Linked DNA regions of Saccharomyces cerevisiae S288C. The protein of the gene in region 3 purifies or fractionates together with the protein of the main gene of each other region. This does not show direct contact. Each region holds a gene or a part of one and is shown on either strand. Other genes may lie near its edges. The genes, in order: QCR10, ATP3, ATP5 and ATP20.

Region 1 (2,781 bases), on a different chromosome or scaffold from region 3:
CGCTCGTGCGTACTAATTTTTCCGAGGTCACTCGCAAATCCAGAATTCTAAAGGATGAAAGTATATTTTCTGAAATCGTCAACAAAGAAGGGATGTGATATATTCAAAATGGAAAGATTCCTCCTTCTTTCATTTAGAAATAGGAAACTAACCAGTAAATTAGAAACAAAGAATGGCTCTCAATAAACTAAAGAATATACCTTCTTTAACAAACAGTTCTCATAGCTCAATTAACGGCATTGCATCCAATGCTGCAAATTCCAAACCAAGCGGAGCAGACACGGATGATATCGATGAGAATGATGAATCTGGGCAAAGTATTCTATTAAATATTATTTCCCAGCTGAAGCCAGGTTGTGATTTATCTAGAATCACACTTCCGACATTTATTCTGGAAAAAAAATCGATGTTGGAGAGAATCACTAATCAATTACAATTCCCAGATGTTCTTTTAGAAGCACACTCCAATAAAGACGGGCTGCAAAGGTTCGTTAAAGTGGTAGCATGGTACCTAGCAGGTTGGCACATTGGGCCCAGGGCTGTGAAGAAGCCCCTAAATCCCATTCTTGGAGAACACTTTACAGCTTATTGGGATTTGCCTAACAAGCAACAAGCCTTTTACATTGCAGAACAAACGAGTCACCATCCTCCTGAATCTGCGTATTTTTACATGATTCCAGAATCGAATATTAGAGTTGATGGAGTTGTTGTGCCAAAATCGAAATTTTTAGGAAACTCAAGTGCTGCAATGATGGAGGGGTTAACTGTATTGCAATTCCTTGATATCAAGGATGCAAATGGTAAACCAGAGAAATATACTCTATCGCAACCAAATGTTTACGCAAGGGGAATTCTGTTTGGCAAGATGAGGATTGAATTGGGAGATCACATGGTCATTATGGGTCCTAAGTATCAAGTGGATATTGAGTTCAAAACAAAGGGCTTTATTTCTGGTACCTATGATGCAATTGAAGGTACAATTAAGGATTACGATGGTAAGGAATACTACCAAATTAGTGGTAAGTGGAATGATATTATGTATATCAAAGATTTGAGGGAAAAAAGCTCTAAAAAGACTGTTCTCTTCGATACTCATCAGCATTTTCCTCTAGCTCCTAAAGTCCGCCCATTGGAGGAACAGGGAGAATACGAATCGAGAAGGCTTTGGAAGAAGGTTACGGATGCGCTGGCTGTACGTGACCATGAAGTAGCTACAGAAGAAAAGTTTCAGATAGAAAACCGCCAAAGAGAGCTGGCCAAAAAGAGGGCCGAAGACGGCGTTGAATTTCATTCAAAACTATTTAGAAGGGCAGAGCCAGGTGAGGATTTAGATTATTATATTTACAAGCACATCCCTGAAGGGACCGACAAGCATGAAGAACAGATCAGGAGCATTTTGGAAACTGCCCCGATTTTACCAGGACAGACATTCACTGAAAAATTTTCTATTCCGGCTTATAAAAAGCATGGAATCCAAAAGAATTAGGCTTCTCATTCTATTTTAATTATACTAGTACGATTTCTCACTCTGTAATTTAATATCAGTGTAATATGCACCTAGTTATGGGTAGTTTTTGCTAACGTTACGAGCCGCGAAACTGTCCTCAATCTTCACCACTACCTCTAATGACTGAAGAATGCTATGCGATATAACGCTGTCGCACTTTGAATATATACTTATATTTACATAGTTTTCAAGTGCGTATTACTATTGCAAAGTAGTATTTTGTCACGTGATTTTGATCCAATTAAAACTAAATATGGTTCAACCCGTTGTTTCCGCATCAAAAAACCATACCATTTATCAAGGGGACGGGATATATCACATAACAGTTTGAATGCATAATTTGTTATAGATATCTTCTGGAATAATCTTCACAGCAAAAGCGCAAGTCGAATAATATATCGATAAATACAATCCATAAGACTTAAAACTAACCTCAATGGCGGTAAGTATCCTATCATATTATGTGAGCTAGAACCGAATTAGTATACTAACATTTATAATACAGTACACTTCTCATCTGTCTTCAAAAACTGGTCTACATTTCGGTAGACTTTCTTTAAGAAGTTTAACAGCTTATGCTCCGAATTTAATGTTATGGGGTGGTGCTAGCATGCTTGGGCTATTTGTATTCACAGAAGGATGGCCTAAGTTTCAAGATACGCTATACAAAAAGATTCCGTTGTTAGGACCTACATTGGAAGATCATACTCCACCAGAAGATAAACCTAATTGAAGCCAAAACATCCAACCGGCTGAGTGATTTTATTTATTTGTTTTACGTTCTTTTCTATCATTTTGGAAGAGGAATTAATGCAAAACACATTTGTATTTTTTTTTATTTTTGCATATTCTCGATTATCTATACATATTTTTAAACTGGATCATAAAAGGTATAAAAAGTAATTGATCCATACAACATTTTTAAATATTTACCCCTCTATTTTCAGAATATTTACTAAAACATCAGTTATCAAAGAGTAGGGAAAAGTTAACTACAGGTTTGTTTTTCCTCTTTTTATGTATCTTTTGAGCTTTGTAATTGGGCAGCACATCTCTATGTTTTCAGGGAAACCTATTTCATTCGCCATTTTGATGATTTAGGCATACGCCAATGCTAACGCCGTTTCTTGTAATTTCTATTTTTTCAAATGGAGTACTTTACCTTCCTCCCGCAGCTGGAACTTTCAACCCGCCGGAAGAAAAGACCAAATAATATTATAATTAATATTTAAAACCCTTGAAAGATCATCTCTTAAAATAACCTCAAATAGTGT
Region 2 (3,337 bases), on a different chromosome or scaffold from region 3:
GCATACGCTTGGTAAAAAACCAAATCATTGAGATTGCGACCATTTTTTTTTTTTTTTTTTTGTTTGTTTGTTTGTTTGTTTACTATAATTTCTTCTACCAAAGACAAGCAAGAACCTGAGATAAAAAACATTTAACAGACATTTTACAAATATATACCAATGTCTTTGTTATTTCAACAGCACTATATATTGTTTTCATTTTCTTGGTTCGTTTCATTGCTACTTAGCCATATTTTTTTTAACTGACACATACATGAAACCATCATAATCTTAATGGGAAAAAATCCTAAAGCGAGAAGGACTTTCAAAAAAAAAAAGTTTTAAAAATGTTATAATTTTTGTATTTTACCTGAATATATAGTAGTGTTTAGTATTTATTATCTTTCCTTTTCTATTTAAGGTATTCTTTGGATATATACTTCGTCTCATCAAGTCAAAATTCGTTTCATGTTCTACAAAAACAACGTCAAATAAAGAGGCAATGCAGGGTGATTTTTTTATCATCCCAAAGAGGAAGCACCAGTAATAATATCAACCAGTTCATTAGTAATGACAGCTTGTCTTGTTCTGTTGTACAAGATAGAGTAACGATTGATCATATCACCGGCATTCTTGGAAGCGTTATCCATAGCGTTTCTTCTGGCGGAAATTTCAGCAGCATAACCTTGAGCCATTGCTGTCAACATTTGGTTAGCCAAAGTATATTCAAACAAATCTCTTGGAACGTTTGCGTCCGTGTCGATCTCAAATTTGCCGAATGATGGGGATTGTTCAATGGTCTTGGCGTTAAAGATCGGTTTTTCAGATGGTTCAAAAGATAGGGAAGACACTGGGTCATTGTAGAAAATGGAAATCTTTGGGTAAGTGCCGGCCTTCATGACACTCAATAACTTATCGGCAATCAAAGCAGATTCTTGGAAAGTTGGGGCATCTTTACCAATTCCATTAATAGACAATTTAATGTTGTTAGGATGGGTTCTCAATAGCTGCATTTTAATTTTATCACCAATAGTGACTATATCGGCGTTTGGTTGATCATTCAAATGTCTTCTCACAGCTTTAGCCAATTGAGAGTGGATAGAACCACACAACCCCTTATCAGAGGTGATAGCAACAATCAACTCTTTAGGAGCACCTGTTTCAGTAGCCTCAACATCCAAATTTTTGGTTTCGGCGTTCTTGTAAAACAACTGCTCTGCTTCATCCATCTTCTTTGCGGAAATTTTAGCCTTTTCAGCTTTACTCAATCTTGTAGATGCAACAATCTTCATAGTTTTTGTGATCTTCTCAATATTTTTGATAGATTTCAAACGCATTTCCACTTCTTTCAAAGTAGCATAAGTTCTCACTGGGTTAGTCTTATAAAGAATACCCACTTGCGCTTGGTGGCACATTACGGAGCGTGTTGCATTGTTTGATACAATTCTTGACAACATGACTACTAAATAAAATAATGTTTACTGCTCGTCTTCAATTGTTTCCACCTGAAATTAACCAAAACGGTTCAGTCTCAATAGTTTCTTATTTGTCTTTTTTAACTGAGTGATAATCATTTAAGCATCTCCCTTCCGGGCCTTCTTTAATCGTTATTGCGGTCCGGGTTCCTCGCGTAGTTACTCGCCGCTCATTGGTTCTCCATCACGTGATAAACATTTCTTCCAAATAAATGAGAACGTTCATTAAATATCGAATAATTCACTTATTATATCTCCATCATATACTTACTAGTTCTAGCGACAGCTCCTATTCATATATCTTCTTACTTTTTTTTTGTTTTATCGACAATTGCTCTACGTTTCGACGTCTAGAAAATGTACTAAAACAGTGCGCTCTCTACCCATAAGGATGAAGAATACGTAATAACAAGAGTTTATTCTCCTTAGTATGTATTTGATAGCACACTCAGAAAGATGAGTTACTACTTGGAAAATCTCAAAAGCTCTTGATGCCCAGCTCATACATAAAAAAACGCCGGAGAACTTTAGCGTCACCAGTTACTGCGACACGGCTTTTAGAGAGGAAAGTAAAGGTCTATGAGTAAAAAGATAGATTATGTTATGCTACATTATATTTGGTATTGAAACATGTATATTATATATAAAAAGTCTAAGAGAGAAATGTCAAAATATCCTAGAAGGTAATGGTTGTCATAACCTGTACATTCTAAAACAGAATGAGAAAAAAGAGGGAATGACGAGAAATTAGCTGAAAAATACTGGCATTAGCCCTTTTTGTGGAAAACATTTGGTAAGTCTAATTTAGAGACTTCCCATGAGCCGCTACCTTCAACTTTATTTCTGTAACTCACTATTATACGCAAGTATTTCATGAACAAAAAGGCCATGGAACCAACCACCCTAAAGGCAGCTAAAGCGGCCACAGACCATAAAATGAATATCAAATAACCATTGTCAGTATCTTGTGGTGTAAAGACTTGAATTATAGACATGATCAGTATTAGATTTGATAGCATCCAAATCATCACAATTCTGGTTCTTATATCTCTATAATAATCATTCTTGGATTGTTTTTCATTGCCGCTTGATTCTTCAAATTCTGGTTCTTTCAAACGACTTTTTATTTCCAAAAACTTCTTATCAACTTCCTGAGGCCAATCTGTTTCCACAATCTGTTTCCCATCTGGACCTTGAACGACAATGGCCTTGGACAATTGCTTGGACTCCTGTGTGGAACCTTTAGTACCCCAGGAAACGTCGTGTGTATTACAGAAGGCAAAAATCTGTAAAGTACACGTAAAGGCGGGAAGTGTCAAAAAGTATTGTATGGATGATGTAAACATGTGCCAAGGATCTAGGTACATCAGTGATGAGAAAAAGTATAGGCCATAGGTGGAGAGCAATGAGATAACGATGTCGACAAATATTTTGTGGGATTCCGTTCCAGAAGCTAACGACTTGAAAGCAAAAACAAACCCACAAATTAGAGAATATGTGGCACATATAGACAGTATAACCATGGAGGTAATGAATAAATGTTTCGCGCCCTGGGGTCTATTACCCATGGAAATAATGAATAAACTTGCCAAGTCACAAAAGATCAGGTATTTAAAAAAAATGAATAAGGCCTCACCATGTTTAATAACTAAATTCATTGATCCTGCTAAATAATAAAAGGTAAGAACGAAATTTGCAATAGAAAACCAGGAAAAAAGCATCTGAATAAATTGATAAAGGAATTCAACATGAAGAAAGAACTTGCGTACAACAGAATGTTTAGTTTTCCAAATTTGGTAGAAATGCAATTGAGCATAAATTGCGGCAAACATTGCACCATTTAACCAACGTCTTCTTTGAGAAATAAATTCAGAAACGTCTTC
Region 3 (2,820 bases):
GCAATGTCTCCGACTTCCCACGTTTGTATTTATTATCCATTTATATACATCAAGACATATTATTAAGTGTATAGGCGTGACTTTGACTATATATTTGATTTGTAACGAAAGAATACATCAAAATTCAACTATGAAATGGTTATTATTGTGCATGCACATCTTGAATTATCAAAAAGGTCTTAAATGTTCTTCGGACTTTCTTGAAATCTTCGAAAACTGATGAGAATTCTTCATTATTTTTTTTTTTCTTCTTTTATTATTTTTTATGTTTATTCCATATATACACTTATAATTTTTTTTTTTGCGATTAATATAAGTTTGCCTGGATACACGAACATATATATGATTAAAATGGTTGTCTCGAACAAAAAAATTCACTTTTTAGAGGGGTTTCTTATTTATTCGTATATGTACGTAATTTTGATGTTTAGGAAAAATTCACGGAAAAGAATATATATTTGAACAGAATCAAAAATTAGGAGGGAGGCAAAGAAAGTAACATCAAACGAGTTGAGCATATCCAACTATATTATTAACGTTAAATGCTGTCCTCTAAGACCTTATTCAGTTTTTGAATCTTTGTAGAAATGCTTAAGTCAACAGTCTTGTCACCAAGTTCTACAATCAAACCACCCTTAATCTCTGGCTTAACCACGTTTTCCAGCTTCAAAGATTTACCTTGCCCCACCAATTTGGAGGCGCTCAAAGCTTTTTCAATCCTCTTGAAAGATTTAGGATCCAATGGTTCAGCACTAGTCACTGTACCTTTAAGTAACCCGTTGTGAGCATCGTTTAAAACGCCAAAGTCAGACGCAATTTTTTCAAAACATCCCAGTCTGTTATTTTCGGAAAGAACCTTCAATAGGTTAACGACATAACCATCCAAATTCTTGTGAGTCTCCACGATGGCATCAATGACAGAATTTCTGTCCTTCAATGACAATGCAGGATTCAGTAATAAGTGACCTAATTTTGGATTCTTTTTGACTGTGCTTTCAACTTTTTGCAAAGATTGAAAGGCAGCATCAATAGAGGAGTTCTTTGCAGCGGCCTGATATAAAGCTGTTGCGTAAGTGCCCTCAACACCGAACAATCTCACCGGTGGGGGAGCAGCAGCTTTGGAAGCAGCAGCTCTTAAGCTTGATGCAAATGACCTGGTAAAGACTCTATTAAACATGATTGTCCACGGTTTAAAAATAATGCGGTAACTTGCTAATCGGTTCTTACTCTGCGGAAAAATATCTCAATGCCACAGTAGCCTGCTTAAATTTCCAAGTTGACTGAATTTTGTTTTCAATGAGATAAAAACTAGAAATACTGTACACAAAGTTAACAATTGGCGTTTGAAATTGTTCCTAGATAATTGAAAGTTTTACTATCTCGCCAAAAGATCACTTCATTATCTTTAATTCCTTGTTTTTCCCACCCGGGCCCGGGTAAATGATATTTCAAATATCAGCATCTTATTGGCCAGCACCGTCTCTCGAAAGTGTCCACTTTATGACGACGGCATAAAATATAACGATTTATTGGACGTAAGTAGTTTTATAAGTTACTAAACCAAGATTATTCCGGCAAAAAAATGAACTTTAAGAGATATCTGAGCGCTTCGTATTTCTTGGTAGTCCCTTATAATGTACTACATTTATGTAGACCAGGTTTGCAGCCAGATCTTACGGGAAAGAGATTTTACGGCTCCCAGTCCGAGCTTTTCCATATACTACTCTAATATACAATGCATTCTTAGATTTCTTAACTGCTGCATATGCTGTCTTTGGTCCTTTGCAAGCCTATTACTGCGGATTTAAGTTTTTTCCACTGATCGTTACCCGAATTTATGGGTTCTGAAAAATTAGAAGATGGAAAATTTTTCAATACGCGATGAGATGAGATAATTGTATATATGTAGTCGCATCTTGATAGGTATGCAGCGTACCATACATTGAGTAACAATAAGCACTGTTACCAATAAATATAGAGCAAAAAAAGATGGAAAAATCACTAGCGGATCAAATTTCCGATATCGCCATTAAACCGGTCAATAAAGACTTCGATATTGAAGATGAGGAAAATGCATCTTTATTTCAACACAATGAAAAAAATGGAGAAAGTGATTTAAGCGACTATGGAAATAGCAACACAGAAGAAACCAAGAAGGCGCACTATTTGGAGGTGGAAAAGTCTAAGTTAAGAGCAGAAAAAGGTTTAGAACTAAACGATCCAAAATATACAGGTGTTAAAGGTTCAAGACAAGCATTATATGAAGAAGTTTCCGAGAATGAGGACGAAGAAGAAGAAGAAGAAGAGGAAGAAGAAAAAGAGGAAGATGCTCTTTCATTCAGGACAGATTCTGAAGATGAAGAAGTAGAGATTGATGAAGAAGAATCAGACGCGGACGGCGGTGAAACGGAGGAGGCTCAACAGAAAAGGCATGCACTATCGAAACTAATTCAACAAGAGACTAAACAAGCTATTAACAAACTGTCTCAATCAGTTCAAAGAGATGCTTCGAAGGGTTATTCCATTTTACAACAGACAAAATTATTTGACAACATCATTGATTTGAGAATAAAACTACAAAAAGCTGTAATTGCAGCAAATAAGCTCCCATTAACTACAGAGTCCTGGGAAGAGGCTAAAATGGATGATTCAGAGGAAACAAAGCGTTTGCTGAAGGAAAACGAAAAACTGTTCAATAATTTATTCAATCGGTTGATAAATTTCAGAATAAAATTCCAACTTGGCGATCATATCACTCAAAATGAAGAGGTGGCGAAGCATAAATTGTCCAAAAAAAGATCTCTCAAAGAGCTTTACCAA
Region 4 (2,704 bases), on a different chromosome or scaffold from region 3:
TATTACTATAAAAGCTGTCAAATTGCGAAAACATTCATTGATTTGGACAATAACTTTTCTAGGTTTGACTCTTCAGTTTATAAAAACTTTCAAGAGCACCTAAGAAGCATTAACGGGTGATTTATTTTCTTCGTCAGTTTCTCTGTACATATATATGTATATATTTACTTATTATAATTCATAGCAAAATATATGTTTTTTTTTTTTTCTTATAGTGAGAAAAATTACTAATGATCCTGAGATCAATTTCACTGTAGTTTTTACTATAGTGCAACAAGTATGTTGTTCTTAATAAGTGTAATGAAAGCTCTGAGGTCAAGTTTTCTTTTTTACAGAAAAGTTATATTGGCCTATTTCATAAATAACTGGCGGCAAGAAGCTAATGTAATATAACTCGATATCGCTTTTAATGCCATTGTATGTCATGAAAAGAAAATAAATAGAATTGAGATGAATATATATTCTTTTTTCTAGTTTTGTTCTATTTGTACATTGATTTAATTTAATTAACGAATATACAAGGGTTTTGCGAATAGATAGAATTAAAAAGCTTAGTGATGTTTATATCCCACTAATTTTCTTCTTCCAATTATTTCACCGACAGAATAAAACCCTATCAACTGAATACCATATGCGCCATATTTTAATAGTTCATTCTTTTGGATGTTTTTTAAACACGATAAAACTTCTGTAGGCTTTAGAGCAAAGTTTAGGCTCTGCTTATAAAGGTTCGAATACACTGATTTGAACTGGGCAACAGTTGGTGGTTGAAGACCCTCTTTTAAATAAATCTGTTTTGAAATCTCGGCACCGACTTTACCATAGTATAAAGCCTTTGATGACAAAAGATTTGCTTTAGAAACCAACCCACTGGTATAATTTTGGATCCTGCTTAGCATGATGAATTGATTAGCGTTCTGAAATATGATTTATCGGCAGGTTTATCTTGTCGATTTGGACTGGAGTAGAAAATATGAGGGATCTTTGCATCTTCATTTTTCGGTCTTTAAATGTAATCATCCTTCGGGATAAATTTAGTGCGTTTAACAATATTTTCTTTCAGCCAATCAGGAATAAGAAAAAAGCCGCCCACTCAATCGAGCCTACATACAGTATTGAATAGTGTTACAAAGCATAAGGATGTAAAAAATACAAACTTGCTATAATTAATTAGTATTTATTAATTGTTACGCAGGGAATGATTGTAGTAGACAGCATCAGACACGGTTATTCAGGCGAACTGATCTCCTTACACCCTCGCCAAGGACAATGACCTTGTCCTCTTGTTGCAATCTTGACAAGGCTTCCTGGATATCAGAAGACTCAACTCTATCTTGAGAGTGTTCATTGATTTGTTTTATAAGCTCATTGAATGACATTGAGTCTGATGCCTGATCCTTCAAAACATTCATAATTTCCCTTGACAAATCCTCCTGTAGTTTTCTCTGAATAACTGATTTACCTGTTTGAACTAAATTCATGTCGATTTTACCGGTTTTAGGGTCTGTTGCATAATCTTTTATGGCTGATCTAATTAATCTAACGGCTTCTTGAACATCCTCCAGCTCTACGACGTTTTTCAATTTCATTTTGGCGTGCGCCTCAGCCAAACGAATCATACTTTCAAGTTGTCTTGTGGTAGCTGTGATTCTCTTCTCATCGGATCTCGAATCGTCACCCATCTTTCTCATTCCTACATAAGCACGAACAAGCTCAGTCTTAGCGGCCTCGGTGATTATTGGGTGTATGTGCTCCTTTGCATAACTAATATACATCGTTAAAAATTCAACTGGTAGCACGTCGTCTTGAGAAATATGTTCGGGCTTATCTTCCAGGTAAAGATTTGTTAAGTGTTTGGCTAGTTCTCTGTCATTTTTCTCATCAACCTTATCAAGGACAAGATAGACCAGATCGAATCTCGAAAGTAGTGGGGGCGGTAGATCAATATTTTCAGTCACAGGCAAATTGGGGTTGTAGCGTGAACCAATTGGGTTAGCACTGGCCAAAATAGAACTTCTGGCATTAAGTGTTGTGATAATTCCCGCTTTTGCGATTGAAATAGTCTGCTGTTCCATGACTTCGTGCAAGACGGACCTTGTAGAATCACTCATTTTATCAAACTCGTCAATACAACAAACACCTCCATCAGACAATACTAATGCACCACTTTCCAAAACAAGTTGTTTTGTGTCGACATCCCTTGTAATATAAGCAGTTAAACCAACGGCAGATGAACCTTTACCCGAAGTATACACACCACGAGGAGTAATTTTGTGAACGTATTGCAAAATTTGCGATTTGGAAGTAGAAGGATCCCCACAAAGTAAAATATTTATGTCACCTCTATAACGGCCACCCTTGGTAAAGGTTTTATTCGTGCCGCCAAATAGCTGAAGTAATATACCCTTCTTGACATCTTCTAGCTCGTAAATACTTGGGGCAATAGAGCGGGCTAATAAACTGTATAAATCTTCTCTTGCCGCAACCTCGCGAATTTTTGCTAAATCCTGATCAGTAATTTGTCTTACTTCTTCGACCTCGTTATGATCTACCTTGTTCTGCATTAATTCTTGTTCAATAGTAGAAGTATCGACGTCTAACCTCTTATCTGAAACTTTTTTAACGTGGACCACATCGACGTATGTTTTATACAACGACTTTAGTACGCGTTGCCTGGAATTAGCTCTAATGGGGATGGACCTGA

Evidence for each region.
Region 1: the proteins of ATP5 (region 3) and QCR10 purify together in Saccharomyces cerevisiae (affinity purification with mass spectrometry, with the first as the bait; 2 studies listed by BioGRID). This does not show direct contact.
Region 2: the proteins of ATP5 (region 3) and ATP3 purify together in Saccharomyces cerevisiae (affinity purification with mass spectrometry; 3 studies listed by BioGRID). This does not show direct contact.
Region 4: the proteins of ATP5 (region 3) and ATP20 purify together in Saccharomyces cerevisiae (affinity purification with mass spectrometry, with the first as the bait; 2 studies listed by BioGRID). This does not show direct contact.

Annotation. Positions count from the first base shown.
Region 1 is NC_001140.6:105,883-108,663, forward strand, and holds QCR10 (ubiquinol--cytochrome-c reductase subunit 10), read left to right. Parts: upstream 1-1,943; coding exon 1,944-1,949; intron 1,950-2,012; coding exon 2,013-2,240; downstream 2,241-2,781. Other genes in the region: oxysterol-binding protein related protein OSH7, read left to right, coding at 173-1,486.
Region 2 is NC_001134.8:313,674-317,010, reverse strand, and holds ATP3 (F1F0 ATP synthase subunit gamma), read right to left. Parts: upstream 1,437-3,337; coding exon 501-1,436; downstream 1-500. Other genes in the region: FIG1 (Fig1p), read right to left, coding at 1-43; chitin synthase CHS2, read right to left, coding at 2,222-3,337. UniProt on the Saccharomyces cerevisiae protein: Mitochondrial membrane ATP synthase (F(1)F(0) ATP synthase or Complex V) produces ATP from ADP in the presence of a proton gradient across the membrane which is generated by electron transport complexes of the respiratory chain.
Region 3 is NC_001136.10:1,057,638-1,060,457, forward strand, and holds ATP5 (F1F0 ATP synthase subunit 5), read right to left. Parts: upstream 1,178-2,820; coding exon 539-1,177; downstream 1-538. Other genes in the region: rRNA-processing protein BFR2, read left to right, coding at 1,990-2,820. UniProt on the Saccharomyces cerevisiae protein: Mitochondrial membrane ATP synthase (F(1)F(0) ATP synthase or Complex V) produces ATP from ADP in the presence of a proton gradient across the membrane which is generated by electron transport complexes of the respiratory chain.
Region 4 is NC_001148.4:598,065-600,768, reverse strand, and holds ATP20 (F1F0 ATP synthase subunit g), read right to left. Parts: upstream 900-2,704; coding exon 552-899; downstream 1-551. Other genes in the region: AGC1 (citrin), read left to right, coding at 1-120; MCM DNA helicase complex subunit MCM4, read right to left, coding at 1,218-2,704. UniProt on the Saccharomyces cerevisiae protein: Mitochondrial membrane ATP synthase (F(1)F(0) ATP synthase or Complex V) produces ATP from ADP in the presence of a proton gradient across the membrane which is generated by electron transport complexes of the respiratory chain.